3 linked regions of the Rhinolophus ferrumequinum genome follow. The protein of the gene in region 3 interacts with the protein of the main gene of each other region in a pairwise test. Links are inferred from orthologs where the notes say so. Each region holds a gene or a part of one and is shown on either strand. Other genes may lie near its edges. The genes, in order: LSMEM1, GIMAP5 and LSMEM2.

Region 1 (10,350 bases), on a different chromosome or scaffold from region 3:
CCTTAGTTACATCATTTTTTTTGTATTGAGGTAAAATTTACTAACAGAAAATACACTTGGAAAGTGCACAGTTCAGTGGCATTTTGTACATTCGCAGTGTTGCACAACCATCATCTTCATCTGGTTCCAAAACATTTTCATCTCCTCAAAAGGAAGCTTCTGTCCATTGAGTGTTCGTTTTCCCAGCTGCTGGCATCCACTGTGCCCTTTCTGGCTCTGGATTTCTCTGCTCTGGTTATTTCATATAAGTGGAATCGTACAGCTTGTGACCTTTTGTGTCTGGCTCTTTCACCTCGCGTCACTTTGCTGAGGTTTGTGAGGTTGGATGTTACTCCATTGCCTGAGTACGTTCCACGTGGGGCGACACCGTGGTTCCCCTTCAGCAGATGCTGACACTCGGCTTGTTGCCACTTTTTGTCCCTCGTGAATGGTGCTGCTGTGAACATTTGTGTACAAGTTCTTGTTAGAGGATCTGTGTTCAGAGCTGTTAGGTGTGTACTTAGGAGTAGACTTGCTGGGTCATACTAATTCTCAGTGTAGCTTTCTAAGGAATTACCAAACTTTTTTACAGCGGCTGCACCCTCTGTACGTTCTCACCAGCAGTATATGAGGGTGCCTACATTCTTACCAACACTTGTTGTTCTCTCTTTCTTGCTTTAAATTATAGCCCTCATAATAGGTATGAAGGGCTTAATGTATTTTTTTATAGAATCTTTATAAATTTAATCATTCTTATGACCATGTCATTGATTGTTGGGTTTTTAATAACTATTAATATTTTCACATACTTTTCTCTTCTGGACTATTTTTTGAAACAAATCCTTGCATGGGAATACAGGGCTGGAATTATGACTTTTTGATACATAGTTAAATTACCTTCCAAAGTTATTTTTGTCATTTCTAATTGTTCCCAGCAATGAGAAAGCGTGTGGCTATTACACACGTATTTGACAGCCTAAGTTTTCTAATTTAAAAAATTGTTTGAGTATTAAAATGGAACTTCATATTTTTGTTATTGATAGCATGGTTGGATTTTTTTTTTCACATTAGTTCATGATTTGACTTTTCCTTGATCAGATGCAATGTTGATGTACCTTTTTTTTTCAATTTTTTTCACTGGAATGTTCTTACTATAGATAGCCGTTAGCTATTACATGTGTTAAGTTTCCCCCTTGTCCTTGATCTTTTTGTATGTGTTTTACAAACGTTTAAAATACTTATAGTGTTGAATTAGTTCATTTCTCCCCTTTGTGATTTTTATTTACATTATTTTAAATCTTACGAGACTCTTAAGCCTGTGTGGCTCACATATATTTTCCTTTTCTTCAATTCAGCATTTATATAATTCGGCAGCCTTCAAAGCTCGAACCAAAGCTCGAAGCAAATGTCGCGATAAGAGAGCAGATGTTGGAGAATTCTTCTAGATTTTCAGCATTTGAAGACTACTTTCTACGTTCTGTTTTTTTATTTGTAACTTCTAATGTATTTAAACTCTGGAGACAGTTTTTATCTCGTCAACATAGATAGCTTTTGTAGCAGGGGTTATATTACTTATAATTTAATGTATAGTATTGCAAATGGTAAGTTCTGATTGAGTATTCTCTGTAAATAGAATCAGTAAACATGAATAAAGTGTTTGTAATGTTTGGTCATTTTCTATTTATGAAGAGAGTAAACATATGGTATTTCACGGTAAGAAAACTATTAGCCAAGGTTAAATACCTTATACTGTGGTTGTCAGATATGTTGATTATAATGCAGATACTACAAGCTATTTAAGATCTTAGACAAACGAGTTCTGGATACAGTTTGGGGAGCTAGTTCTTCTAGAAAAGCTGCTATGTTTTTAATTTTAAATGGAACCTAATAATTTTGTCACTGGGATCAACAAAGGAAATTCAATTATACCGTAGACCTCACAGCTACACTTCAAGGCCGTTCAGTCCAGCTTTGGGAGTTCAGGATGAATTAGGACAGCCAGGACAGCTGCGCACCTTCACCTCTGAGGGCAGTAACACTAATTTCATCTGTTGTGTAAGCCTGTGCTCTTTATTTTGAAATAAAGATCTTTTCACACTGAAAGTGCTTCTTTTCTAATAGAAGAAACATCATTTATGGGTTTGAGGTTCAGAGTGCAAAATGACCAAGCTGGGGAGGGAAGGGGCAAGGAGGGAGACAAAACTTACTTTGTATGTTTGGAAACCTGAAAATAGGTGAAAAAATACAGCAGTGAATCATTGGGGTTCTGGTTACTGACTTAAGACTATTGCTGCTTAATTGTCACTATGAGTTAGATTTCACTCTATGACAAGTTGCAGGCATTGTGACTGCATTAAGAATTTATTATTAAGCTTATATTAAAACGACATTGCACAAAGCAACGTCTGCAGTATAGAGTTCATATGCTTGCTTCTTTGATATCAGTGCAGAATATGGTGACGAGGTGTGAGGAATAAAAGGACGCGCACACTAGAGAAGAACCGGAGTCACCCAAGGCACTTTCCCAAGGCAGCGTCCCTCCCACAGCCCCGCAGCTGAGCGTCTGACGTGCCTCTTGCTGGAAATGATTGGCCCGTGGAGTTGCCCTTCCTAGTGGGGTGTGAGTCCCACCCTCGGGTGCAGTGCAAGGAAAAGCATGAAATCTAGGGCTGGGGGTTTTGCATGGTGGGTTCCCAGTAGGTTAGAACCATGGAAAGATAGAAGCAGTGTTTTCCTCTAAATGTTCCATTTCATGTATGCATCTTGTTAAATAAAAATGACTTTTTATTACAGTTGCTCACTAGCGTATACATAGGTTCATGGTACTTCCAGGCTGAAAAACAGCAGCTCCCTGCTCCATCCTTTCCCGTTCCTCCTCATACCAGACCACCATTCAACCTTAGTGTTTACCTAGCAACTGGTTTCTGGTTTCCAAGTAAGAGGCTCCAACAGCTGCTGCTTAGTTTATTTTTTCCGACCTGACAAGTTCCTATTCAATAGGTGAAGGTGTTTGCCTTCTTACTTCATCTTCCCAATTTTTTTTCTTTTTGGTTGTTCAATCCACATTGTGACTTGCGTTGTAGTGACCATGTTTCTGTGTTCATTCCTGAACTAGAGTTTCCTGTGCTTACATTTCCATACTCAACACCACAGTCAGCAGGGAGTCAGCTTTGTTTTATGGTCACATCACTGATCCTTCCCAGAGTCCCAAACATGTCTGTGGAATGCTAGTCTATTTTCCACATGGTCACAGCCCAGCAGAACGCCCGTTTCAGTGTAGACTGCCCTCATCTGAGTATGTACAGCTGTTTCCCGACTTCATCGTCCCTGGATTGGTTTTCCTTTTGGGTTGGATTTCACACTTCTGGCCTCGTGGCTTCAGTGTTAGATTCCTTTCTTGTTCAAGTGGGACTTCCTTCAGCAACTTCTGGAAATGGTGCATGGGGAGGTCAGGTATTTTGAGTCTACCGTATTTGCCCGAAAAGAAGACCTAGCCGGACAATCAGCTCATGCGTCTTTTGGAGCAAAAATTAATATGACCCAGATATTATATTTATTTTATTATAAAGACCCTGTGTTATATCAGGTCTTACATTAATTTTTGCTCCAAAAGATACATAAGAGCTGATTGTCCGGCTAGGTCTTATTTTCGGGGAAACATGGTACATGTTTGAAAGGCAGTTTGGGTTGGGATATAAAATTCTAGGGAGAAAATCCAGAATTTTGAAGACCTTGCTCTACTGTCTATCAAGTGTTATAATATCTGGTGCAATTCTATTTCTGATTCTTTGGTTTGTTTTGCTCTTAAGAGTTGTTCTAAAATTACGTGACTCTGTGCTTTGGTGGGCTCTGGCAAGCTGGAAAGCTCAGTTCTTGGTCCTGGGCACACCCCCTCCTACACACACACTTTTCATTCTGGCAATTCCATGAGGTGCTAGAGCTGCTGGATGGAGCCTATGGCCTTATTTCTTCCTCCTTTTTCTTTCTTGGAGATTTCTCTAAGATGATTTTTCACCCTTTCTATTGCATTTTATTTGGGGCTAACCTGCAATCACCTGCCTGTATTTAGCTCCATATTTCACGGCTACCTCCAACTCCTGCCTGAAGTCTGCAGGGTCAGTCACCTCACTCACTCACCACCCTCCCGAGTCTGCTAAGACAGGTAGGTCCCGACCACCATCTCCTTTCCTTAGTCAATGCCTTGGTTACAGTCCTCTTGCGTATTGGTTTCCTCCAGTTTTCATTCTTGTAGTTGTGTCATCTTTATTCCTATTCTGCCTTCGTACTGGGGTTTGAAGAAGAAAAGGTGAAGGTGTGTTAACGTGCATATTAGATTTCTAGATAGGTAGTTGTTGGGGTTCCTGGGGTTCCCATGTATCACAATGCTGGAGTTTTCTTGAAAGTAGTAAAACGGTATATGGTGGACCAGTTCATTCCTTGCATCGTGCTGTATTAAAGGAATTTAAAATGGTCCCTGCTTACTATACTCTTTATTTTGAGGCTTAAGCATTAATTTTGGGACAATTCATAGCTGTGACGAGTCTTTGATGCCGTTTACAGAATTTTCTGGGAGTTGAATCTAGATACAGTGAGATACAATATTCGAAAGAAAAGGCAAGAAATACGTGAAAATGTGCCCAAATTAAAACAGTTCATGTAAGACTACCTCTTCTCGCGACCTGTAATAACACTTCTTGATGTGGCCTTTCAGGTACATAATAGGTAAAACCAGGTAGGTTATCGTGCTTTGCTCTTAATTGGTTCTCCAGACATCTAACTGCCCATAAAAATCTCAGCCCCCTCACTGGTGTAAAAGATGGTTGAATTCAGACTTGCGTGTGAGGAACTGCGTGTCTCCATTCTCCATCCCTGAGGAGGGAGTAATACTTCACGGGGTTCCCAGTTTATAGGAAAGAGCAAAACAGTAAGTGCTTAAAATTATTTAGCCAGTTATTTCTGGCTGAGACTATTATTTCTTCAAAAGATAGATTGTTTAAGACAGTTCAGGAAGTTTGGAGATAATTTTTAAAACAGCATGATTAATAGCTAACATTTTCATTTTTCAAGAAATTTGGCATAGCTTTGTCATGTATAATGTGCTTTTGAGAAGACACTAGATACATGGTCTTCATTGAATTGATCCTCTAGTATAGAGGCAGCTTAAGAAAATGATATCCATTTTCCCCCAAAGGAGAGTGAGGTCCAAACTAAATATAGATGTAAGGGAGTTTTGTGCAGCACGTTTTTCAATTGACCTGAAATACGGTTCAGGGATGACCAATGTCTGTCTTGTCACTGCAGTGGGAGGGAGGATGAGGGAAGGACTACGTATCAGGTTACAGCCCACCCCTTAGGCTCCTGGGGGGGTGGGTAGGTCGTCCTGCTGTCTGGGACCAGGGTGTGTGTGTGGGATGGCTGTTCTCCTTCTCACTGTAGTTTCTTGAACGCACACCAGAGGGCACAAGCTGCTTGGCATATGTGTGAGGGACCCACAGAAGAGAAAGGCTGACATTCCTGAGAAGGGAGAATGCATGAAAACTCAGAACAAAGGCTTTGGAAAGGCAAGGAAGTTGAGACAAAGTGCTGCCGTGCGTCTGTAGCCATGCGGTCTCCCACTCTCCATCTTTTTTTGCAGCTCCCGGAAGCCTTAGGGGTCCTCTGACCTGCCATCATCCTAGTTAGAATGCCAGGACCTTATTCTGTCCCTGTTCACTGTAGTCTGCCGGTTGGTCTGGAGTCCTGTGCAAGCTAGTTGGCAGCTCCAGCTGGGTGGCAGCTCCAGCCTGCTACCGGGTATTTATATGTGGGGCATTCCGTGGCTGGAAGTATGCCAGCTCACACAGCCGCATCGCCCAGATAAGGAAGTAACTGCAGTCCAGTAAGAATCGTGTCAGTTACCAGCTGTACCTGGGGTGGTGGGTTTTTTTTTTTCTTTTTAAAGTGTAGTTTCAATAATATATTTGCTAGAAATCTTAGACATTATGGAAAAAAGTCCGTATTTGGAATCTTACACTGCTTGGCTAAATGAACACTAAATACCGTTTCATGCTGGGGTGTATGGACCTTGCAGGAACGCCCGAGCGCTGAAGGAAGGCAAAGAAAGAACTACAGAATTAGTAGACAGTTTTATTGTAGTTGCTTCTGAATAATTAGTGTGGTTTTTTTTTTGGTTTTGGTTTTGTTTTCTGGTAACCTAGCAGTCAAAGCTCACATTTTTGTAAGTAATCTGCATGCTATTACTCTCCTGAGACTGATTTATGACTCTTGAGGCTGGCATGTTCTTTGATGCATGTGCTGTGTGCTTTTAACTTTTGATAGAAATGATTTACACTTGATTTTAAAAATTACTTCCTGAATGATGAAGAGGCACTGACTCTGAAACGGAATTAAAGAACAAATCACCATGACCCACTCCATAAAGCGTCCTATTAGCTTTGAATTAAGTCCTATTACAACAATTCTAATACTGTGGCAAGCAATACTAGCTAGTGTGTGTTATTCCTGTGGTTTGATACCAAGGACCTATGGGGAAAAAAGAGCAAAGCAATTTTTCATCGACAATTGTCTTTATTTGTCAGAATATTTATCTGTAGGTAGTCAAAGAATTCCTAAATAACAAAAAGAATAAGCTGTTACTGTGTTTCCCCAAAAATAAGACCTACCCAGAAAATAAGCCGTAGCATGATTTTGCAGGATGCTCTTAATATAGAATAAGCCCTAATGCATCTTTTGGAGCAAAAATTAATATAAGACCCGGTCTTATTTTTGGGGAAATACATTAGGGATTATTTTGTATTACGAGCATCCTGAAAAATCATGCTAGGGCTTATTTTCCGGTTAGGTCTTATTTTCGGGTAAACACGGTAGCATTGATCTAAGCCAGAGGAAGATGAAATTACTTACGTTTCAGCTCATGGTATTAGAAAGGATCCCATGAAAAAGGATACTGCTTTGGTCTTATTTAATGAGCAAATTTGCGCACGGAGTCGGGAAGGAGGGTTGAGTGAGTGCGGAGCAGAATTTAGAACATTCTGGCTTCTCCGGCCCTGCTGGTTGTTCCCAGACGGCCTCAGATGGAGAGGCCAAAGATAGCAACAACTGGGTGTCAAACAGCTGTGGGTCCTGGGTGTAGGGCCATGTGACCTTGTATCCATTTACTCAGCGTCATTTGCAGGAACTTGGTGGCCACACACCCCCAACTCGGTTTTCTCTGCTGGCTCTTAATTTTGTATTTGCATGTTGCAGTTAATTTAAAAAATACACTGAAGTAGTATCTGTCTACCTCGTGACGTTTTCTTTTGGAACACTTCACAGCTTATTCTCAGTTGTGTTAGGGCTTTTGGATTGCGTGTTGCTTTGAGTCGGTAGCGAGGCCGATAATTTGGAGATTTTTATTAGGTGCATGTCTCGGTTTTGTGGTTATAATTTTCTAGCCAGTCCTGTACTTTGTAAACATCGATTAAGCCTCAGCATGAGATTTAAGCAAGAGTAATTACATTCCTACAGGGGAAGCTAAGGCTCAGGATATTAAGTCACATCCAGAAATGAGCCCTGCCTCTGTCACCAAGCCTAAAATAGAAGCCGTGTTTGGAATGACGATACTGCGGTGACTCACCCAACCTCATTCCTCATCAAATATTAGCATTTGGGATAAAAAAGTATGAAGAGGAGGTGATAAAGGGTAAAACCTTTCTAGAAAAATAGTTTAGAAATCTGTGACCCTGCCATCAGTCAACACTGGGTTTTATCTGTAAAAGGATAAGATTTGATTGATCTCTAAGGCCCCTTTAGTCTATATGCTGCTACTTTTTTTTTTCTGTCACTTCACGTCACTCCCTGAGGAATGCTTCATGAAGTATATTTATATTTAGAATTATGTTTAGAATATTTAAAGTGCTTCAGTCGTATCTTACCTAAAACTCTCAGGGAATTTTGTGTTTTTGTCAATTAAAATTTCAGGATAACTGAAACACCCTGTTTTAGTTTGTAACTTTTATTGGGAAAAAAAATTTAGTCCAGCACTGCAGCTACCAGATAAATGTATAATCTTGGGCGTTTACCTACTGAGCGTCATTTCCTTCATTTGTGGAAAGCATGAGGGCTAGACTGGAACACTTATAAAATTCTTTCCAGATTAAAACAATCCCGTCCTACTCACTCTTAGACTCATTGTATGAAAAGAGGAAGCTCTGATGGTAACTGGAATTTGCCTTCCTGGACCCTTCTTTTCACGTGAGTAAAAGGCCACAAGTTCTCTGTCATGCTGGAGAGATGTCTTAAAATAAAACTTTTTAATCCATTCAGGCTTTCCAGTGCTGCTTCAAGTTGTGCTGTCATTAGAGAATATCACTTTAAATGTAAACCTCAATTTAAAAATGATTTATTATGGAAGTGACCTCAGTCTACGGAAACTCAAGAGGGCAGACACCTGAGAAGTCCTGGAGTCTCGCCCCCCACAGCTGCAGGATTCCTCCTTGTGGCATCTAAGCTTGTTCAGATCTTGTCTTGAGGACAGCCAGCATCTACTGGCTGAAGGACACATTTGAAGGGAGAGACTCATATGTTATACTGAAGAAGTATAAAAATTACAGCTTCGTATTAAAGCCTCATGTAGTAACAAGGGTTTGCCGTAATGTTCTCTTCTTCTCTCAGCATCTTTATGGCCACAGGCTGACTGGTTAAATGGCATCTTTCTATCTGGTCATACTGTCTTTTGCACAAAAGACTTGAGACATCTCACCAGGATGTGAACACTGTAACAAAGGAGAAATATTTAAAAACCAATTACAAAATAAAAAGGAGGCCCAGGAAAGTGTAGGCAGAATTGAGAAATCTGAGGAGCAGGAAAGAGCATATGCAGATAGGGAGGGTATAGGCATTGCACAATTTTTAAAATTGGGCCACGCACTGGACTCCGAGCTTCCTGGCAAGCAAAGCAGAAAGGACAAAGTTGTCCCGGAAAGGAAATGTTCTCTTCTGGACAGGACTTCGGTTGGAAACAGTCTATGTGGCTGGTTCCGTATGTGCGTGTCCCGTTTCCCATGGGTGGTGATTCTTGGGAAGCCTCGAGTTTAACACCGGTGTACTCTTCCAGGGACAATGAATCGTTCTTCCCAGGACGCTGGCTCGCAGGGCATTCTCGGAGACGGGAAGCTTTATGCTGTGGATTCCATCAACGACTTACACAGACTGAACCTCTGTCCTGCCGGATCTCAACGCCTGTTCCGTACGTGTGCTCTCCGAGGGCCAGCGGCCCGCAGCTTCTAAGCTGCCTACAACCAGCGGATGCTTATCTGCCCTTGAGGGTGTGGGGAATGGGGGCGGGGCCGGGGGGGGGGAATAACAGTTTGGCCCCGAAAGTGCTCATTCGCCAATATCTGCTTTGGTTCTCTGAATAGAGAACCAAAATGCCCACAGGCTCTGGGCTTCTGGGGCTCCGAAGTACGATTTGAACTCTTGTCTTCAAAAGTTCTTGAAAGTCCCGGTGGGGTTTCTCTCCCTGGAAAGCAGATGAGGCGGCAGAGCTGGTCTCCCAGAGTCTTGCTCTTCCCGCTGGGCAGCTGTTTGCCTTCAAGTGACCACATCCAAGTCACCGATGATGCCCACGTCCCTAGAGCGATCTCACTTCATAGCGAGTCGCTGGGAATATAAATGTTCCACACTTTTTTGATCAAGTTTTAAAAACAATCATTAAAATGTTGTTGGGCAAAAAAGTCAACTTTGGTTTCTACTAACAAATGACAATTGCCCCAATTAAATGGCTAGGAAAAAAAGGGGTGGGGGAGAGCAAAACAAAACTTCTGCTAAATACTAAATGTGTGTCTTGTCCCCTAAATGTTGTAAATGAGTTCTGTCCCTTCTTAAACGCTGACATTCAATCCCAGGTGTTGCCAATGTGACATTTGTTTCACGTGCACTCTAAAGTCTTAATGTCCCAGTTTTGTATCTATTATTCTCCTTCTGACCTTGCTTTTCTCTTGATTTGAAGGTATTCGGATTTTCACCTGTTTCTTTATTGCAGTCAGTCTCAATTAAAGTAGGTGTTTGGGTGCCAGCTTATGTTGTTGCTTTGATCAGGAAGCAAAAGCTATTCAGGGGGTGACATAGGGTGTCTGGGACGTAAGCCACCCATCTCTCTATAATCAAATAGCACAGCGTGTGGGACTGACGCCAAGTAGGAGAGAATATGGAAATAACTTAAGTCTCTCAACTGCCCCAAGTTTCTGTATTTCTGATTTGATCGAATGTGGGTGTTATTAGGCAGGTCTCACACAGTGATGACCAAATGCTCATGGTCTGGGTGAACCACGTTGTTTTATAAGCACGGCTGCCCTCTCAGTTCAACAGCAAAACATGGAAAAGAACCTTGTT
Region 2 (10,909 bases), on a different chromosome or scaffold from region 3:
AAAACGTAGTATCTACAGCTTTTGTCACCGACATAGAATTACCTGGGAAAAATTAATATCTAACACTGCCTCACCGAGGTAGTGAGTGTTCCAGTCTCCCGTCTGCCCTCTCATTTGGGTTCTGAAAAGAAAAAGAAAAAAAAGCCAAGCTCACCGCAGGCTCTCACTGTATCATTCCAACCCCAGCCCAGGCCCTTCCAATGTCTTCCCTCAACTCTCAGTCCCAGGGCAAGCAGGAACCACGATGTTGTCACTGTCGTGTCTGTCACCAGCTCTTTGGCTTTTGCCTGACACATTGTAGGTAGTTACACCTATTGGACGAATGAATGAACCAACAAGTTGTGTTTGGGACCCTTTCAGGTCAGCATGGGAGGACGGAAGTTGGCGAGAGATGAAGAAAGTACCTATGGTAAGAACATGTCTCGCACACTTGCCCCCACGGGTGCGCTCTGGGGGATGAGGGGGTCGGGCGGACTCAGGACTGAACAGACAAGCCCCAGGGTGTCTCTGAGGTGTCTGGGGCGAAACAGCAAGAGCCCGAGATGTGCATTTTAGCTGGATCGCTGCTGCCCCTGTCCAACTGTGAGATATTAACTTCTTTGACCAGCCTGCACCTGTTCCCAAAGGGTAAAATGAGGACAGTAAACCTATTCTCACGTCCACAGAAGAGGGTGTAGAGGTATCAGACCGTGCACTAGAGGGAGTATGATTGACCAGGTAGAATGTTAGAGAACCAAGATGGAGGGTTAAACAGGTGTCTTATTAGGAAGCAGGTTGAAGAGGGAGGAGAGGGAGGAGGAGGGAGAGAGGGAGCGGGAGAAGGAAAGAGCTGATCTCATCTAATCTCTCAACAACCCTGAGAGAGACAACTCGATATCATTATTCCCGTTTTCGCAAAAAGGTTTCATGTCGCGTCCCGCGCAACACAGGCAGTGAGGAAACGAGAAGAGGCGGCTTTGGGTTACGTTTCTAAGAAAGAAACAAACAAAGACTTAATGTAGTTAAATCTCTCCGAAGGCCAGGGGGCCTCTCAGTCTCAAAGGACTGGAGCCCCTAATCAGACTGACTGGAGGTTTTTATTGACACTCATACAAGTAACACTGTTTCTTACACGGTCTGTGAGACTCATACATCATAGCAGAAAAATGTTTATCCCAATCACCCTTTGTCTGCAAACAGCCAGAGCACAAGGTCCCATGATGTCTTAATTACGGTATGTACCTGTGGGGACAGAGCCCCAAAAAGCAGTTTCCAGGCTCTCAGCCTCACATAGAAAGGTGCTGGCTCAGGTAGTAAATGGCCATGGACTGTGATCAAATGGCCATCAGCTGTGGCTAGTTGGCCGTCAGCTGTAACCAGTGAGCCATTGGCCACGAATATAACTGCCGTGGCTACGCTAGCAAAAAATGGGGGCTAGCAAGGAGATGGTGGCTGAGCCTGCAAGCGGCACAATGAGGGTTGAGAATTGTGTTGCTCCTGGTTCCGGTGTCTCCAACCCAGCCGCCAGCGAGAGTATAGTGGTGTGACTCCCCTACCTATGGCTCCGTGGGTGTTCCTTTTTGGCCTAGCCATATCCTGCGTTCTTATGTGGGGAGCGGGAGCTGAGACCCTGCAGGCCGTCCCGCATGACAGTACCCTCTCAGGGTCAAGTCTCTCATATTGTAACAGTTCCGTTGAGACAAGTGGAGAGAACTGATCTTTATTGTCTTCATGACTTCTCTCACAACAGGTGCGAAAGAGGAGCCAGAGCTAGCAATGGCTTTTCCTAGGCAGGGGGAAGGGGAGGCAAGGCCCTTCCCATATTTTTCTAAGGCATCACGTCGGCGGGGGCTCAACTCAGTTCCACCTGGCTTGGGTTGTATGTCCCGTGAGATATCTTACCCGTCTTTGCCTGCAAACCATCTTTTGGAGACCAGACAGAGAGACATAAGGTGTAAACACAATGATGGAACAGAGTCCCAGAAAGGCACACTATCACAGACTCTTCTTTCTTTAAGGAAAGACACGGGCGGGGGTGGAGGGACAGTTGGCTAGGTTGTTGTGTGACTACAGTTTAACACTTAGATTAAGCAACCCCCATGGCTGCACAGCTGGCGATGGCGGGGCTGCGAGACAAACCCAGATGTCTGGGATTCCAGACAGCCCCTCTTCTCCCGTCTACTGCCCCCTCCTGCCCTTCCTCCCTGGGATGGACTCTGGGAGAAGTATGGCAGAGGCCCCTGAAGCCGTCAAGTAGGGACAGCTGTGCAAGGTAAGGACGAGCAGGGATAACGTCTGGTGAGGTCAAGTGTGGAATTGCAAAGGGGCATCCTCTAGAGAAACGCTCACCGGGTGCTGAGCATCCACAGGTGCACGTGGTGAAGCCACAGGGAAAGAAATAGAAGGTGAAGATGCCGGGAGTGCAGGCAGCTCCGACCAGATGAGCTCAGGCAGGGTTAGGGGGAAAAGGCGCAGGTGAAGGCACTATTGTTCTCCTTTGTTCAGAGGGCTCCCGGAGGCCCAGGTAAGCAGGCTGCGGTGCTTTAAGGTTTGGAAGCTGACAAGTCACGTGTCCTCCAGGTTCCGAAGACGCCACGCAGGGCCTGCAGGAGCCCAGGCTGCGGCTCATCCTGGTGGGGAGGACAGGAGCCGGGAAGAGCGCCACCGGGAACAGCATCCTGGGCCAGAGGCGCTTCCTCTCCAGGCTCGGAGCCACCTCGGTGACCAGAACCTGCGAGGTGGGGAGCTGCAGGTGGGGCCGGTGGCACGTGGAAGTCATGGACACCCCGGACCTTTTCAGCTCCCAGGTCCCCAACACAGACCCGGGCTTCGAGGAGCGCAGCCGCTGCTACCTGCTGTCGGCGCCGGGGCCGCACGTGCTGCTGCTGGTGACCCAGCTGGGCCGCTTCACGGCGCAGGACCTGCAGGCGGTGAGCGCGCTCAAGGAGCTGTTCGACGACGCGGTGCTGGCGCGCACCGTCGTGCTCTTCACGCGCAAGGAGGACCTGGCGGGGGCCTCGCTGCAGGACTTCGTGCGCGACACCGACAACCGCGCGCTGCGGGCGCTCGTGGCCGAGTGCGGGGGCCGCGTGTGCGCCTTCAACAACCGCGCGGAGGGCTGGGCGCTGGAGGCCCAGGTGCGGGAGCTGCGGGAGCTGGTGGAGCCCCTGGTGCGGTACCACCAGGGCGCCCCCTACTGCAACGACGTGTACCGCCTGGCGCAGGAGCTGGCTGCGGCGAGCCCGGAGGAGCGGCAGCGCCGGGTGGCCGAGAGCCTGGCGTGCCGCGCGCGGGCCCGGGCGCGGCGTGGGCTGCTTTCCCGGCTGCGCGCGTGGGTGGCGGCGAGGAGGTGGCGCGTGTCCGCGCTGCTGGGCGCAATGGTCCTGCTCTACCTGGTGCTCTCCAGGCTCTGGCCTGAGGCCATTGATGAGTTAGGTCCTGAGTGACAGCCAAGGGGACTTTGACCCATCGATGTATAAGCGCATTCATCCCTGGTGTGTGAGCTTCCTTGGCCCGCGGGCTCTCCTTGCCTCTCTCACCTGGACATAACCTAACAAGGACAGAGTGCTGAGAGATCCCACCTCTCCCCAACACGTTGCCCTGTGACCTGGCCCTCCCTGAGTTCTCCCCTTACTGAAGCCAAACAACTGTTGTTGCTTCTGCCCGTTTCCCCCTGACCTCAGGCCGCCCTTCCCTGTCATTGAATTGTCTTGTCTCCTAAGAGCAGATGAGCATTTGTCCTCTCACCCCTGGTTTCCCCACGGGACCAAGGGAGAAAGCCAACACAGAGCCTCAGTCCATACCCTTTTGTTTGAATTAAATGAATAAATGCACGGGGCAATCACACTGTTAAAGGAAATCACTATTTGTAGATGTTTGTTCATCTGCCTTATATGCCCATTGAACAGAGCCTGTCATTCCTAACTCCATCTGCAAAAACCACACACCCAAATACAGACAGACACACACATACACACCTGGGGGGTGGAGGGTGTTCATCAGAAGATAGCACTCTGAAGAACAGTCCACCTGTCCCAGCAGGAGACATCTCCCCCTGCGTCCCCATTCAGACCCCTCCAGCAGCCTGCTGCTCCCCAGGCTCTGAACCCAGGACAGGACCAACAGTCCAAGTTTTAAAAATTAAGGGAATCTGCTTTGAAAGGAACTGTGGAGCGGATTCGGAATTAAAAGTTCATTGCAGAGGAATCCTGTAGCTTCAGACAGAGTTTTAATGACATAGAACACTGAACACTACCAACTTTGCAAAGGCTCAAAGTTCACTTGTTAAGTTTCACTTTTGACTATAGATACACTTTTAAAAGAAATGTCTGACTTTAAAAAGTCCTTAAAATGTCTTAGGAGTCCCAATACATCTTTCCTCCCTTGAAAAATAGTGAAAGGGCTGGTAGTTTTTAGTAGACAAAGGATTCCTGGCAATGGAAAAATAATCATTTTTATTTTGAGCATTTAAAGAAATGTAGACACTATCGTAGGCCGTTAGGCTGCTAAAATAAAAAAGTGAAGCAAAGCAAAGAAATACCACAGACTAGGTGGCTTCTAAACAACAGCAATGGATTTTTCACAGTTCTGGAATTTGGAAGTCCAAAGTCAGGGTGCCGGCATAGTCGGGTTCTGGGGAAGGCCCTCTTGGGGTTGCAGACTGATAACTTCTGGCTGTGTCCTTACATGGTGGAAGGGATGAGCCAGGTCTCTGGGGCCTCTTTTGTAAGGGCACTGATCCCAATCATGAGGGACCTGTCCTCTAGTCACCTCCCAGTGGTGCCATCTCCTAATACCATCCTCTTGGGCATTAGGTTTGCATCGTAGGAATGGCGGGGAGACACAGACATTGAGACCAGAGCAGACACTGACCCTCCTTAATACTTTTCTAGTTCTCACACCTGAGTAGATCTGGCCCTTTGAGGTCCTTGTAGGTTTTTCTCATCATCAAAGAAATAGACATCAGGGTCCTACATGTTAACTTCTGATACATCAGTTTTTTTTACTAGCGCAATGATTTACTACCAGAAAGATAAATGTAGCTATAATGAAAGTAACAAAGTTTCCAATTTTCTAGCATGTATGGTTCATGTCTTTACAAGATGAAGTAGGATTTTGGGAAAATCACAAGTAATGTGTGCCAATTGGTTACCTACCTGGGATTTTATGCAAAAAAATAATAATAATCCAGCTCCTCTCTGCTCCTGGAGAAGAGAGGGCGCAGCAGGGGCGTAGGCAGAAAGCTGCAGAGCCCTGAGGTTAGGTAGGTATGGCTGTGCTGTCCGATTTTCTGGGGGATGAGCCAGTTCACAAAAGTTCTTGAATGCTACACCATGAGAAAACCAGATGCCATCCTTAGGTTGTGTAAGAAAAAAAATTCCTTGTTTCTATTTCTGAATGTGACAGAACACTTTTATGAAAGGAAGTCATTGTCTTTATACCAGCCACACAGAGAAGGAAGGGCCCACACATATGTGCTTTGATACCACGTGGGGTTGGGCCCAGGGAGGCTCAGCGCGGGCTGCTGGGTGGGGATGGGCTGCAGGCAGAGGGCCTGGGGGCCACGGTGGCTGTTGCAGGGAGTTGGACTCTGTGAAGGCCGGCTGGAAAAAAGACCATTCTTTTTTTTTTTAAATTAATTTATTTATTTTTTAAATTTATTGGGGTTACAATTGTTAGTAAAATTACATAGATTTCAGGTGTGCAATTCTGTATCACATCATCTATAAATTACATTATGTGTCCACCATCCAGAGTCAGTTTTCCTTCCATCACCACATATTTGATCCCCCTTACCCTCATCTCCCACCCCCCAACCCCCTTACACTCTGGTAACCACTAAATTATGTTCCCCAGATTAATTTTCAAACCCCGTGGCCATCTTGTGGTTACCGATTGTTTTCTAATCCCCTCACCTTTCCCCTTACCCCCACCCCCCCGCCCATCTAGCAACCCTCCGTTTTTCCTCTTTGTCTCCAAAACTGTTTCTGATTAGATCATTCACTTACTCTTTTCTTTAGATTCCACATATAAGTGAGATCATATGGTACTTATCTTTCTCTGAAAAAGACCATTCTTAATTCCAGTTTTTAGCATCCTCGGCAGCCATGCTGGGTCCACGCAGGGGCTCAGCCAGAGAGAGTTTCCTCTGGTGACCTGAGGGGCTCAGGGAGGGGCCAGGGTTGGGGTGACAAATGGTTCTTAATATATTATGATGAAAACAACCTCATGAGGTATGAAGAATAATTATCATTCACTTGCTTTGATTTGAAGACGGAAGGAATCTACTGAGGTTAAATCCTGATGGCACAAGATGGCAAAATCAAAAGTGCAACTTCTTTGTTTGCCAAGCATTTGCACCAACCCAAGCTTTCCATCCATTATAAACTGCTTCTTTACTCACCCGTTTATCCATGTTATACCACATATATTTCCTCAAATATCATACCTTAATAATTCTTTGAGAATATGGTCACAACCCAGTTACCCTCTAAAACAAAATACTTTGCTCAGTTCCAAAAGAAAATGGCATTGTTTAAAATATTTTCCTTTTTCCAAATGAAGACATTTTCTGAAGTTGACAGAGTACAATGTCACCAACACGGTCCTGTTAAATTAACAGAATTCCAAGAGCATTTTGAATTGTACCTTCCTAAGCCCACGCGCGCAGGTCTCACTTTGGCTAAGATTCTATGTTAGGTCTAGAAAGCTTTGAGGGCCTCAGAGATCAAGTTCTACTGTGAAGAAACAACGTAGCAAAACAAGATTGAAAAATCTCCAGCTGCTGAGGGGAGCGGCTGGTGCCTCCCCCTGCGCTCCCCGCAACCCTCAAGGACTTTTTGTGCCACAGGGGGCTTTTCTGAACCTGGGAATCCGTCGCCACCTTCGTAGCCTTCTGTTCCAAATAGCGCTTATTTAAACAAGTCATAAAAAAGGAAATGGGAGGGGGCAAGACAAAGACAGTCTCTGACAGGAAGCGTCCCACTAAGGGAACAGCACGCAGAGCTCACTTAGTCTCTGGGTCCTGTTTGCAGCACTTTCGCCGTCCACCCGGAGGCAGGACTGCGTGGGGCGCTGGGCGTGCTCCGTACTCCCCTTTCTTCTTCTTTGCCTGGAGCCGTTCCCTGGAACATTCGACCTCTCAGGCCACCGGGACCAACTTAACAGCCGGGCTTCCCGCTGCGCCGGCCGCCTGCGCTCACCGCCAGCACCCCACCCCCCGTGCATACCTTGCCAAAGCTTCCAAGCACCGCGAGCCGCAGCGCCCTGCTAGGTAAGAGGACCCTGGGGACTGTCCCAGCGTCATGGGGGTCTGAGAGCCCACGGCCTAGTCACAGCCTCCGATTGCTGGTGTGATCACACACAGGTCCCCCAACTTCTGGGTTCGCCCGTCGGTGAAATGGGGCGATGATGGCGAGCGCTATGGGGAACAGGAGATTTATAGTGGGGGGAGAAACAGGCACGGGAACCACTCGCCCCAAATCCGCAACCCATCACATTCCACAGCGCCACAGGCTTTTCTGTCTAATTGCCTACTGCTTAGCCCATTGGGTCTTCATGAGACTCACAGGGTTTCAGAAAGCTGGACTAATAATCTCCTCCCATTTGACAGATGAGAAAACTGAACCTCCCCAGTTGCCCCAGGTAGTTGGGGGCATGCTTCTCAATATACTTGCTTAACTTCTTAACCCCTCCCACAATGAGCCACGTTTTCCTGCAAGAGACCCCTGAGCAGACATTGTCTTAGGACCCCACCTCCTGGAAACCTCATTCTCCCCCAAGTACCCTCCGCCTTCCTCTGACACATTGTAGGACTCGACTCTATGGCAAACAGCCTCATGTTCAGGGCACATGGGAACAATCCCTCTGCCTGCTAAATCTTATGTGAGAGACATCACAAGAACTAAATTACAAAACAGGCGACTCTAATACCGGGAAATATAGGGACTGCGGCAAATGAGCAAAGAAGGTACTTAGAAACGAGTCAGACAAGAAATAGTTTGGTCTTTCCTTAAACAGCATGAGAAAGCCTATTTTCTCTCGCTTTGATAAAATCATGATAAAATCAGGCTCATAATTTTAAAATCGGAAGGTGCATTCTGTTCATTTCCTTCAACCCCCCCGGCTGAACTAAGCCCTCCTCCGGTCCCCATCAGATGCTCTTATACTTTCTGCCTGCACACTGTGCCTGGTGCTCCCTCATGATACCTGGTCCCATTTTGGAGATTAGTAGAATTTTCCTTTTCGAGAAGAAATCTGCCTCCATTCTGGATTCTCCCACTTTTGCCTACTCGGAGATTGGCACATATCACAATCCTTCAGGTCTGCGGTACTCCCCCTCGTCCCCCCCAGTCTTTTCCTAGGCTTTCCTCAGTCCTGTTAATATTTTGTCTATGCCAGGATCAGTTTAGCATCTCCATCAATATACTTTCTGACTCGTCCCTGGACACTTGGTTATTTGTTGATATCTGCCTGAAAACCTCTTCCTCAGCGGGACACATGTGCCGCCTGCAGCCCGACCCGCTCAGAAACACCACTGTACTGCATCTCGGCTAATGTAACCTGAGTTTGATTGACTTTCTGGGACAGGCACATCCCTCTATTTGGGTCACAATCATACTCGAGTCAGTAAAACCACCAGATTGTTTTCAACTGAAATGCTTCTATGCAGAACAACTCCTGCCCCCTGCAATTTTCTCTTTGAATAATCTTTTCTTGGAAAAACACGCATTCAAGAATTTGCAGTACAATTCTCTGTGTTGTTTTAGGGCTGACTTCCATCCGGTCAACCATCAGTTTATGTTCTGACCACAGATGGCAACATTGTAGGTGGTGGTCCCAGAAGTTGGGGACTTATTTGAAATAATCTTTCCCCTGTAGACTCAAGGAGAATATGCAGGCAAAAAGAGCCACATTTTAATCTTAACTCTGTGGCCACTGTGTGACCTTGGGTAGGTCATTTGATGTTCAGTTTCCTAACATTTTAATCGAAATTTTAAGACCTGTCTTCATTCCATCACAGCAAATTTAGAGAACAATTGAAATAATGGACATAAAAGAACTTAGAAAATTATAAATGGCAGCACAGAGGACTCTTGCAATAATAAAGTTCATCACCAACGTCATCATCTTTACCTCATCAATAGATTGATTCCAACCCCAGGAAAAGGCATTTAGGTAGAAAAGGTGTCAGAGAATTTGAGCATTTTTAGCAAGAGCCAGAGTATGATTTCCTGGAGTCAAAGACAGAATATGGAAGATGGTGGTGAGGAAGATGCTGTTTTCTGGGCTCAAGAAAAGAAAGGAAGGATGGGCTGGAAGGGGGGAAAAAAGGAAAAAGGAAAGGAAGGAAGGAAGTTGTCTTAGTATATTCTGATAATGTGAAAATGGATGGTTTTCCTAAGGAGGGCCCCCCCAAAAAAAATCCACTGAATGAATAGAAAAACGTGCATACATTATTTCTATATAGCAGAAGCAACCTGAATAGCAAACACACTATGAAAACCATTCTGAATTCGATGTAATCAGTAAAATGCAAGTTTAAACCAATTAAGACATCCTCATTTAAGCCCATAAGGGTGAGTAAAAAAATTTAGTCTAATATCAGCAAATGCAAGTAAAGATTTTGGGAATTGTCACACATGGCTGGTGTCAGCATATGGTGTCAGCACAATCTTCTTAAAGTCATATCTGGCACTATCTAGTTGGATGGAAGCTGTGTAAACCAGATAAATTGTAGTACAGGAGATACACAGTATGTGGGCATTATTTTGCAGCATTGTTTGTAGAAGCAAGGGTATATTTTGAGATAGCTTGAATGTTCGTTAATAAATAATTGGATAAAATGTTACACAAATAATGTCATTTATGTAAAAATTTTAAATCCAAAAACAGCACTAGATGTTATCTATACGAGGAAACGTGTTTGTAGAAGTGTAAATACACAAATGAGAATGATACATAAAAACCTCAGGATACTGATTGTTTCTGAAGGACAGAAGGAGGGAGAATGAGAGTGGGGAGTTGAAAAAAAAATCAATGGAATTCTATGTGTAATGTTTTAACTTTCAAACAGAATAGCTGCAGTAAAAATGCCAAAATTCTTACATTTCTGCATTGCAAATGGTGGGTTTTGTTTTATTACTGTGTAATAAGTTTGTTTCATAACTGCATAATATTTAAAATGGAGTAAGTCAAATACCTCATCTTAGTTATAGCTGCATGTCACGTGCTTGCCTTTTCTACCGTGTTTCCCCGAAAATAAGACCCAGCTGGACCATCAGCTCTAATGCGTCTTTTGGAGCAAAAATTAATATAAGACCTGGTCTTATTATAATACAATATAAGAATGGGTATAATATAATATAATATGATAATATAATATAGTATAATATAATAAATATAATACTGGGTCTTATATTAATTTTTGCTTCAAAAGACGTATTAGAGCTGATAGTCTGGCTAGGTCCTATTTTCCAGGAAACACGGTAACACCAAGAAGAGTGACACAATATTACGCCTCATTTGAGTAAAACATTTGTGCCAGTAGATGCCAATGGTTGTGCCAATTTCCAGTTAACCTACTGGGAGACAAACCTGGTGATTATTGGGAGACCAGGACCTCAGAGCCAGCCAGGAAAAACATCTGGTTTAACACTGAGCAGGAAATGAGTTTCTCTTGAATTTGTCCTGAATGTTGATTCTTTCTCTTCAATCTTGGCACCACCTTCTCTCCACCAACTGCTCGGGGACTAACAATAAACTTGCTAGAACAGAGGAAAAAAATCACTTTGCTGTACATGACATTCGCTTGTTTGAAGTAGTGGGAATTCCTGGTCCCAGAAACTCTTTGTGCTAGACGGACATTCCAGTGGCCAAGAGCAAAGTACAATGTATCTTCCAATGAGAAGGTGGTATCAGGGACAAAGAT
Region 3 (10,195 bases):
ATGGCGAGAGGAGTGCAACTGGGCGGGAAAGGACATTGGTGTGAGTGTTGGCTGCCGGGGTAGGGGTGGGGAGGGTCATCCCCTCACTGTATAGACAGGGCAGTGCTGAAACAGAGGCCTGCCTGTTCTGCCTGGGAAGGGGGTAGGGAGGCTGAGGTGGCTGAAGTCTAGAGGTAGTGAGTCAGGGGGTGTTCATGTGATTCTTCTTGGGGGCCTGTGAGTCATAGGGGGCAATGCAAGCCTATGTTTCCCCATGTATCCATTCTGGAGAAGGTGGGCTGGGCCGGTCACCAATAGCACCCAGGTCCCTATAGCCCGTGTTGGTACTTGCCAGGACTGAAGCAGAAGAAAAGAAGGGGTAGGGGTGCCACTGGTGAGCTGGGGCCTCTTAAGGCTGCCTTCCTGCTCCTGCCTCATTGTCTCTGCCCCTGCCTGCCCACTAGACTGAGTGCATGAACTTCGTGAAGGTGCTGCATGCCTACAACCGCACCCACCTGCTGGCCTGTGGCACAGGGGCCTTCCACCCAACCTGTGCATTTGTGGAGGTGGGCCACCGGCTAGAGGTAAGGCCAGATTCAGGCAGAAAGGGAGGTTGGGAGAGTAAAGAAGGGCCTGGCTGTAACAACTTCCCCCACCTCCCAGGAGCCCGTGCTCCGGCTGGACCTTCAAAAGCTAGAGGATGGCAAGGGCAAGAGTCCTTATGACCCCAGGCATCAAGCAGCCTCCGTGCTGGTGGGTAAGTCCAAAGGCTGGGACCCCGACAGAATTCCTGGAACCCCTAAGGGACTCAAGAACTTCACCAAGTCCCAAGACCCTCCCTAGAGCCCCAGGGATCCTCCATAGGCTCACTGACTCCCCAAGAGCCCCCAGAGCTCCACAACCCCTTCCCTCAGAACCTTCAGCCTTGGTTAAGCAGCCCTTGCCCTGTCTGCAGGGGAAGAGCTATACTCGGGGGTGGCTGCAGACCTCATGGGCCGGGACTTCACCATCTTCCGCAGCCTGGGCCCGCGTCCGAGTCTCCGAACAGAACCACATGATTCCCGCTGGCTCAACGGTGAAAGGCTGGTGGGGCTGGTGGGAGAAGGCCCTCATCCTCAACAGGGCAGGGGCTGAGTAAGGTCCATAAAAGAAGTGAGCAATGGGTGCAGCCAGGTTTCACCAAGGGCACCATGTGGCAGGCCTTGTGTTAGGCACTGGGGTGGCAGGGCAGATGAGACATGCCCTCTTTGAGTTCATGGGCCTCCTAACAAATATAAGATCAATTTCAATGGCCATGAGACCAATGAGAAGAGGAGGGGGAAAGGTGGTAGTGGTGGGAAGTTTGGGGAAAAGAATTCATTCTGCTGAGGAGATGTGAGCTAATTCCCAAAGCACAGCAGGATTGAGGGAGGAGCATTCCGGGCAGAGAGAATAACCAGTGCAAAGGCACTGGGGCAGGAACAAGCCGAGGAACAGATTCATACGGGGCTTGGACTGTCAGGGGCCAGGGTATTTATTCTGAGAGTAATGGCACCCAGTAGAGTTCTTGAAACAGGAGTGGGGGCATCTGCTTCCTGCTAGAGAGGAAGACTCTTGAGTGAAGGTAAAACCAGGTACCCCATCTCCCTCCTTTCTTGGCCCACAGGCCTGGGGAACTGTCAGGGGCAAGGTAAGAGGGTTGTACCTGGCAGAAGCTCCCTCCGCCTGTGTGCCCAAGTAGCCATGGTCTCTGCTGCCCTCTCGTGGCTGCTTCATGACTCGCAGGCCCTGAACCTTTGGAGTCTGTTCACGTGGACGGCCGTCTGAACTTGATTCTAGAGTTTGTGTAGTCGTTGCTGCCTGTGGGGCTGTTGTGAGAGGAAGAGGAGGCAGCACCTGGGTCTCCTGTGGAGTGGGGGTGGGGAGGAGGCCAGGACCTCGCTGACACCACGCCTCCTGCTGTGGCCAGAGCCCAAGTTCGTCAAGGTCTTTTGGATTCCTGAGAGTGAGAACCCAGATGATGACAAGATCTACTTCTTCTTCCGTGAGTTGGCAGTGGAGGCTGCCCCGGCACTGGGACGCCTGTCCGTGTCCCGTGTTGGCCAGATCTGCCGGGTGAGGAGACCTTGGCCAGCATCTGTTGACTCCCGCCCTGCCCCTTTGCCCTCAGAGGACTCGCCCTCATCCCCTCCTATTGACCCCGCAGAATGATGTGGGTGGGCAGCGCAGCCTGGTCAACAAGTGGACCACTTTCCTGAAGGCGCGGCTGGTGTGCTCCGTGCCAGGCGTGGCGGGCGACACGCACTTCGACCAGCTCCGTGAGTGCGAGGAGTGGGGAGTGGAGTTGGGGGAGAGAGTGCAGGGGCACAGACCCTGGAGCCTGGCTGGCCTGTGGGGCTGTGGGCTCTCCCCCAACTAGGTCCTTTCCCTGCAGAGGATGTGTTCCTGCTGTCCTCCAGGGACCGCTGGACCCCACTGCTCTACGCTATCTTCTCCACTTCCAGGTGAGGGTTGGGAGGTAGCCGGGTGGGGCCGACCGGGCTCTGCTGGGCCCTTCACTCCACTCACATCTTCGCCTGCAGTGGCATCTTCCAGGGCTCCGCAGTGTGCGTGTACAGCATGAATGATGTGCGCCGGGCCTTCCTTGGACCCTTTGCACACAAGGAGGGGCCCATGCACCAGTGGGTGTCCTACCAGGGTCGTGTCCCCTACCCCCGGCCGGGCATGGTACGTAGCCCAGGGAACCCCCATCACAACCCACTGAAAGCCTCAGGGGTAGAGAACTTGGCCTGGGGTCTTTTTGATAAATATGGTTTCTTCTTTTTGCTATGGGTGGAAGAAACGTCACCTTCATCAGACAGGACCCCAGGGGAAGGCCACATTTCCTCCTCAGACTCCCAAGGGCAAGGCTGGGTCTCTGTCCATGACACCCACCCTCATATATATACACTCCGGGTTCCCAGAGTTTTGCGGATGGCTGCACACCAGGCGCTCATCCCCACATCCCTGTCTTGCCTCCTTCCTATCCCCCAGTGTCCCAGCAAGACCTTTGGCACCTTCAGTTCCACCAAGGATTTTCCTGATGATGTCATCCAGTTTGCCCGGAACCACCCCCTCATGTACAATTCAGTTCTGCCTGTGGGGGGGCACCCTCTCTTCCTACAAGTGGGTGCCGGGTACACCTTCACCCAGATCACTGCAGACCGCGTAGCAGCAGCTGACGGACACTACGACGTCCTCTTCATTGGCACAGGTCAGGGTCCTGCCAGAACCACCAGCCAGACCCAGTCTAGGCTCTTTGGCTTGTTAACGGAAGCTCCCCATGTTCAGTCCTCTCTCCAGGCCCTTGCTGGGGCTGTGCCCCCATCTCCTTCTGGATGCTGCTCTGATTGTTCCAACCCACATTCTCCACGGACCCAACCATGTTGAGGGTAGAGGCCTCGGAGATGAAGAGACCCCTGGCCTTAGCTGTCAGGGAACACAAGGAGTCATTCACCCCTCCTCATTCCTGCAGATGCTGGCACCGTGCTGAAGGTGATCTCCGTCCCCAAGAGCAGCCGGCCTAATGCTGAGGGGCTGCTCCTGGAGGAGCTGCAGGTGTTTGAGGTGAGACCTAATCCCCCCTCCCCTTCCTGTCACCTGGGCTTCCTCCACTCCACTTAGCCCTGATTCCAGTGCCCCTTCTCTCTCAGGACTCTGCTGCTGTCACCAGCATGCAAATCTCTTCCAAGAGGGTAAGTGATCAGAAGTCTTAGGGGTGCCATGGACCAAGCGGGTGCCCAGGCGCCCGTACCTCCATGCTTCCCTTGGTAGTTTGAAGCCTGGGGTTTGAGTATAGGCTCTGCCTTCACTAGACTGTGTGACCTGAGACCTCAGTGTTCCCATCTGTCAAGTGGGGAAGGGATCCCTGACCGATGGGAGGTGGGCACAGGGCCGCCTTCGGTCACCCCGGAGCCCCTCGTGCCCCCTAGCACCAGCTGTACGTAGCCTCACGGAGCGCAGTGGCCCAGATCCCGTTGCAACGCTGCGCTGCCCACGGCCGCGCCTGCGCCGAATGTTGCCTGGCGCGTGACCCCTACTGCGCTTGGGACGGGGCCGCGTGCACACGCTTCCAGCCCAGTGGCAAGAGGTGGGCAGGGTTGTGGCGGGCCGCTGGGAGGGAGTCCATGGCTAAAAGAAGAGGGGCTCAGGGAAGCTCCAATGTTCCCCCCAGGCGATTCCGGAGGCAAGACATAAAGAACGGCGACCCCAGAACGCTGTGCTCTGGGGGTGAGTGCTCCAGCTGCCCCCATCTCTCAGTCCTTGAAGACGCCCCACCCTGCCCCGCTTGGCCTGTATCTGACATTCATTCCCTTTGCCCCCAGACTCGTCACATCCCGCATTGCTGGAGCGGAAGGTGTTAGGTGTGGAGGGCGGCAGCGCCTTCCTGGAGTGTGAGCCTCGCTCGCTGCAGGCGCATGTGGAGTGGACCTTCCATCGCGCAGGGGAGACGGCCGGCGTCCCGGTGAGCCTGGTGGTGGTGGTGGGGAACCTCCCAACCATGCCCTCGTCGGGCTCTTTACATCCAGTAGAGGCTCCGCCCTGAATAATGAGGCCCTGGCCTTCTCCCCACATCTAGATGAGGTCTAGCTCCACCTAGTGCGGCTCTGCCAACCCTGATCTCTTTCTTCCTATTTCACCTGCACTCCACAACCTGGTGAGGCCTGTTCCGGCTAATTAGGCAACACACAAACCACCACCACCACCACCACCACCACCACCACCCCCCCCCACACACACACACCACACACACACACACACACACACACACACACACACACACACACACACACACACACACACACACACGCCGGCGCGCCGCGTGGCCGTCGCAGACCCTTGCCTCTACTGTCTCACGGTGGCGCCCGGGAGCGGGGTTCCCGACCTTACCGCCGCGCCTCACTCTGGCCGGGCCTACAGGTGCCGGCGGAGGAGCGCACCGAGCGCACTACGCGGGGGCTGCTGTTGCGCGGCCTGCGACGCGGGGACTCAGGCGCGTACCTGTGTACAGCAGTGGAGCAGGGCTTTTCGCAGCCGCTGCGTCGCCTGGTGCTGCACGTACTGAGTGCTGCGCAGGCAGAAAGGCTGGCCCGGACCGAGGAGGCTGCGCCCGTAGTGCCCCCGGGCCCCAAGCTCTGGTACCGGGACTTCCTACAGCTGGTGGAGCCGGGTGGCGGTGGCGCAAGCTCCCTGCGAATGTGTCGACCGCAGCCCGCCCCGCGCGCACAGCTTCCTGAGTCGCAGAGAAAGGGTCGCAACCGGCGGACACACGCCCCAGAGCCGCGCGCTGAGCGGGGGCCACGTAGCGCAGCGCACTGGTGACTCGGCAGTCCCCACGCCGGGGACTGGGGAGATGAGACGACTGGCGGGAGAGGGGCGGACAGACCCTGGGAAAAGACAGCTAGGGAGCGGGCACACAGCGGCCCCCGGCCAACCGAGACACCGCCGGCCAGGCTCGGGCCGTGGGGCAGACGCGCCAGCTTATTTATTAACAGTGGATAACCCTTGAATGTAGCCCGGGGAGGGGCAGCTCAGGCCGGGCACAGGGTCCGGCTGGTCGGGAGAAGGCAAAGAATCAGGGCTCCAGAGCAACGACCTGGACGGGAGAGGTGCCAGGAGTCCCCACCCTGGGAGAAGGACCGCCTCCTCGGGCAATGAGCAGAAAGCTGTGAACGGGCTGGGCTGGGGGGGCGGGGGGGCAGGCCGACTGTACTAATGCAATAAACTCATTATCAGCTGAAGCTGGAACGGCCCCGGCGGACAGCCGCTGTCCTGGGCTCGCTGTGCGGCCTCGGTTACCTGCCTACGCAGTTTCAGGGCCTCGGTGTCTTCTGAAGACGCTGTGGTGAGGATTAAAGGTGGCTACCATGTGACTGAGTGGATGCTGCAGGGCCTGTGGGGATACCGACAAGCACAGGAAATTCTGAGTAATATAATTTCTGGACTAAGTGCTATGAATAAAATTGGGTGATATGGAAAAGAATGTGAGCAGAAGGCCTCCCTGAGCGGGTGACATTTGAGCTAAATGGCAAGGAGCCAGCCATGGGAATATCTGGGAGCAGAGCATTCCCAGAGGGAAGAGCCAGTGCAGAGTTCCTGAGGTGGGCACTAGCTTGCTGTGTTTGAGGAACGTCAAGGAGGCCAGTATAATACACCGGAGTAATGGATTTGGGGTGTTACAAGAGTCAGAGACCCACTCTTTCACTTTGTCCTATTTGGGAAGGAGGGACACGGGTCTAACAATAGAGGGTGGGCCTAAGCTGGCCCACTTCCTCCATTCAAGGGTAAGTGGTCCATGCATCCTCACACGACGTCTGTGACCTGTGTGCCCCTGTGGAGAGGAGGGCAGATCAAAACTGCATTGTGCCAAGTGCTTCAGACGCGTGGTTGTATTTCCATTCTCACACACACGATGCCAGGGAGGAACCATTGTTGTTCCGATTTACAGATGAGAAAACAGGTTAGAGAAGGGGCAATCCTTTATACAAGGTTGTAGGCTTAATAATAGAAGTTGTCATTCTTCAGCCTAGGTCCACCCGCTGACCAGCAGGGTACATGCATATGTGGGGTATTTGCCCCCTTTTAGGGCTCTCTGAACCCTGGTGGCACTGGGCTCAGGTTGTCCATCACCCTCAATCCCTGATGCTAACAGGTCAAACAGTGGGTGCCTATCCCACCTTTGCTTGGATGACCCAGCTGTGGGTAGGCGTTTTGGAGGGTAGAGGAGTGGAGATGCACAGAGCCCCCTTGCATGTCTTGACTGCCACGTGGGTTATTGCTGGAGGTGCCACTGACGTGGTTCATCTGGATGAAGACACAGGCCCATGTATATATGGGAGTCGTAGGGTTCCCCAGGAAAGCCCTTGGGCACATGCACTAGTAGAGGTGTGCACTTGCACAGGTCAATAGTCCACACTGGCCATGTGGGTCACTCTGCCCCTTTCCATGGCTGAGAGCTGTCCCCTCTAAATATAGCCCCGTGGGCTGAGCGCAGGCCTATTTCAGGCTCAGGCTGGGAGGTGGCCAGGCCTTCCTCAGGCTCACAGAGGAGCCACTGCTGCCTCCACCGTCCTGCTACTGGGTGCTGACATCGGGCTCCGTGACTGCCCACCCCATCATGCCTGAGGAGACCCAAGAAGGTAGGAGGTGACTGAAGGAGGGCAAAGCCCCAAAATTATGACCACGGAGAAACCTACCCCTGCTCCACTGACCCCGCGTCCTTAACTAGTCGTCAGTCACAATGTCCCAGCGCAAGTCATGGGACCTGCCGCTGTGCATGGAGGAAGGCTTACCATGCCTGGAACCCCTTCTCATCTCAGCTTCTGCCTGTTTCCCCTGCTAGGGACAGCAAGAGCGGTTGAGGTAGCTACCCAGTTGGGAGAGGGTGAACTAAAGGCTGTGCCTAAGTGGGTGTGGGTGGGGCAGCTGCCTGGCAGGTTCAGCTCTTACTTCAGAGGAAGCTGCGATTGTGGATGAGCAGTGGTTCCAGGAAGCATTTGGGCGCATGGCCCAGGGAGGGGCGAGGCTTCTGACTTCCTCCAACTTGGGCCTAAGTGTCCCCAACTGGCTAAACGTTGGGATCCCTTTGTTGGCCAGAATAACCGCAAGTAAAGACTTTGGTGGCCACTCACCTAACTGTTTCACCACATACAAGAAGCATGGAGGCTCAGAGGGGTCAGAGCAGGGACCCAAGAAGCTCCAGATCCAGATGCTGGCCAGGGTACAGGACCAGCTGCTCCACAGTTCCAGCCTGGCCTAGCTGGGAAACTCCCCCCACCACATTTTCAATTTTATATTGGATGGGAAGGCGGGGAAACCCTGGGTGTGTAGGGGGTGTTACCTCCTTTTGGGGTCTTAACAATGACATTTACTGTGTGTTGTCCCTGGTAACAAACAGAATCTGAGTTCAATTTAGAAAGTGTGGGAAGAGCACAACCAAGTGCAAAGTGGGAATTTAATATGACCCTCAATGCACCACCCAGACGTAACTGGCAGCATTTGTTGTTTTACTTACTTTCAAGCGCGTCAGGGGTCATTTTCAGGCAAATCATGAAGGTTGAGTTATTGTTCAGAAAGCGATAGACCCAGAAAATCTACTCACCCTTGCCCCTATAAGATGTCCCTTCAATGCTCCCCACTTTGTGATCTATTTTCCAGCTGGACATCTGGGGGTCGTAAGGAGCCAAGATTAAAAAAAAAAAAATCAAGTCAAAGAACCACCAGAAGAAAATATAATTTTTAGAAATAATAAACACTTTGATGGATCTAAAAATAAGTAAATATCATAGGAAAAGTGACTGTGTAGAGGCTTTGAACAGATAATTAGGAAGCCACATACATATTGATCAGCCCCCCCTCTAGGCAGAGATCAAATCAAATGGGTCAAAAAGGCCTTTCTCAGTTCCCAGCTTAGCAAATATGTGTGTGCATATGTATGTATATATGTTTTTTTCGATGGAGAGGCTTAATGGTGGCAATGTTGTATCCTTTGGGGGGCTGCGGGTAGCCATGGTGGCAGCCAATTTGAGGATAGCTTTAAAAAAGTCCCTGCTTTTTGATCCAGTAATTCTGCTTCTGGAATCTGTCCTTATTAACTGTTAGGAAATTGAAAGACCTCTTCTTACTCAATGATGCACATCCTTTTCTAGGAATTATTGATTTCAAAAGAGAACTGGAAACAACCTAAATGCCCAGGCGGCCTCAGAGGGATGCCTGAAAGAAGACCTCAGAGGCCTGTGAAAGTCTGATAACAAAGGCAGGTCTCCTGTCTTGATTTTGAGTGAAAACAGCAGGGTTCAGAGCAGTCAGCAGAATCACACTGAGTATGTTAAAGAAAGAGCTAAGGCCAGGAAGGAGAGGCACCACCAGCTCATATGCTGCTGCTTCTGCTGGGGACCAGGAGAATGTCAGGCTGTGGGTCTGGCCCGATGGCTAATTTCCAGGGTCTACAGGGAAAACTGACAGCAGAAGAGGCAGGAATGAACTTCATGCACTATGGGTTTATTCCTCCAAGGTTGATAAAACTCTCCTCTAGAAATGAGTAGGCAGAGGAATACTTGAAAAGTCTTTGAGGTGCTTGGAAGGAAGCAAACGTGACCAAGTCAAGTGCACCACCTACTACTGTGGGTGAAAACAGACCTATGGGGTTCCAGGTTCGTCCTGGCTCCAAAATCACTGGCCATTCCTGAGTTGGTTTTAGATTAGGAGTCCCCCACCTCTTTGTCCTGTCCCCATCTTCCCCGAGTCCCTACTGCCTCTGGAAGCCATCTAGAAGGGAGGGGGTGACCCACTGGCTGAATCAGCCTCGCGGTGCCCCACAGACACCATGGCACCAATGCTGAGCCCGAAGAACAGGGCATCACTGGCTCCCAACCACATGCAGGAGGTGCGCCTGCACCGAGTGGAGTCCATCAGCGACCTACACAGCGGAGGTAAGGGGACAGGGGAACGGGATGGATGGATTGGGCAAAGAGGAAAACAGGTGCACCCACTGCCCTCCTGATGCCCCATTCACCCTGTAGGCTCACTGCACCCCTACCTAGCCGAGGAGGCTCAGCCATGGGATGAGCTGCTGGGCATCCTGCCACCGTCGCTGTGCGCCCAGCCTGGCTGCAGCCCTTTGCACAGCCGAGGGGGCTTCCTGCTGCTGCTCGCACTGCTGGTGTTCACCTGCCTGGCACTCGCCATCCTGGCTGTCTACCTGAGCGGTATGGAGGCGCAAGAAGCCAGTGGGAACCAAGGGCAAGGAAGTGGGACCAGGAGGCCTTTCTGTACGGTTGGGAGGAGCAACTGCAGAGACCGAGGCAGCGAAGTGTGGGGTGGGGGTTCTCGGCCCCTGACGCTGGGCTGAGTGGAAGGGGGACCATGGGGTGGCATGGGGTCTGCTAACCCCCCATCTTATCCTGCCTGCCTGTCCGCAGTGCTGCAGAGTGAATCCCTACGCATGCTGGCACACACACTACGCACGCAGGAGGAGATGCTACTCAAACTCCGGCTGGCCAGCCTCAGCCAGTTGCGGAGGCTCAACTCCAGTGAGGCCCGAGCACCCAGTTGAGATGCTACTTGGACCTGGGGTCTGGGGGTGTGTGTGGGGGGAATAAAGTGGCCGTTAGCAGGTTTCTCCTCTCCCACTGCTGCTCCACACTACTTTCTTGGTGAGGGTTTTGTATAGGAGCCTCATCTGGCCCCATAGCTGCCC

The links.
Region 1: the proteins of LSMEM2 (region 3) and LSMEM1 interact in binary tests that used the Homo sapiens proteins (3 or more experiments, as listed by UniProt). The two-hybrid records come from large-scale screens. The link is inferred for Rhinolophus ferrumequinum from reciprocal best matches to the Homo sapiens genes LSMEM2 and LSMEM1.
Region 2: the proteins of LSMEM2 (region 3) and GIMAP5 interact in binary tests that used the Homo sapiens proteins (3 or more experiments, as listed by UniProt). The two-hybrid records come from large-scale screens. The link is inferred for Rhinolophus ferrumequinum from reciprocal best matches to the Homo sapiens genes LSMEM2 and GIMAP5.

What each region holds. Positions count from the first base shown.
Region 1 is NC_046303.1:4,684,637-4,694,986, reverse strand, and holds the start of LSMEM1 (leucine-rich single-pass membrane protein 1), read left to right. Parts: upstream 1-6,022; 5' UTR 6,023-6,196; intron 6,197-8,143; 5' UTR 8,144-8,171; coding exon 8,172-8,211; intron 8,212-8,288; exon of another isoform or gene 8,289-9,002; intron 9,003-9,071; exon of another isoform or gene 9,072-9,073; coding exon 9,074-9,205; intron 9,206-10,350. Other genes in the region: IFRD1 (interferon-related developmental regulator 1), read left to right, coding at 1,335-1,424.
Region 2 is NC_046309.1:4,009,139-4,020,047, reverse strand, and holds the start of GIMAP5 (GTPase IMAP family member 5), read left to right. Parts: upstream 1-6,928; 5' UTR 6,929-7,252; intron 7,253-10,909. Other genes in the region: GIMAP1 (GTPase IMAP family member 1), read left to right, coding at 367-409, 2,560-3,425. UniProt on the Homo sapiens protein: Plays a role in T lymphocyte development and the optimal generation of CD4/CD8 double-positive thymocytes. Inhibitor of GSK3A, possibly by sequestering GSK3A in cytoplasmic vesicles and impairing its translocation to the nucleus.
Region 3 is NC_046300.1:6,303,067-6,313,261, reverse strand, and holds the start of LSMEM2 (leucine-rich single-pass membrane protein 2), read left to right. Parts: upstream 1-5,827; 5' UTR 5,828-7,114; coding exon 7,115-7,136; intron 7,137-7,174; exon of another isoform or gene 7,175-8,752; intron 8,753-9,317; coding exon 9,318-9,428; intron 9,429-9,518; coding exon 9,519-9,847; 3' UTR 9,848-9,917; coding exon of another isoform or gene 9,918-10,051; 3' UTR 10,052-10,195. Other genes in the region: SEMA3B (semaphorin-3B), read left to right, coding at 1-40, 444-563, 643-736, 935-1,054, 1,928-2,073, 2,165-2,276, 2,393-2,462, 2,541-2,685 and 7 more.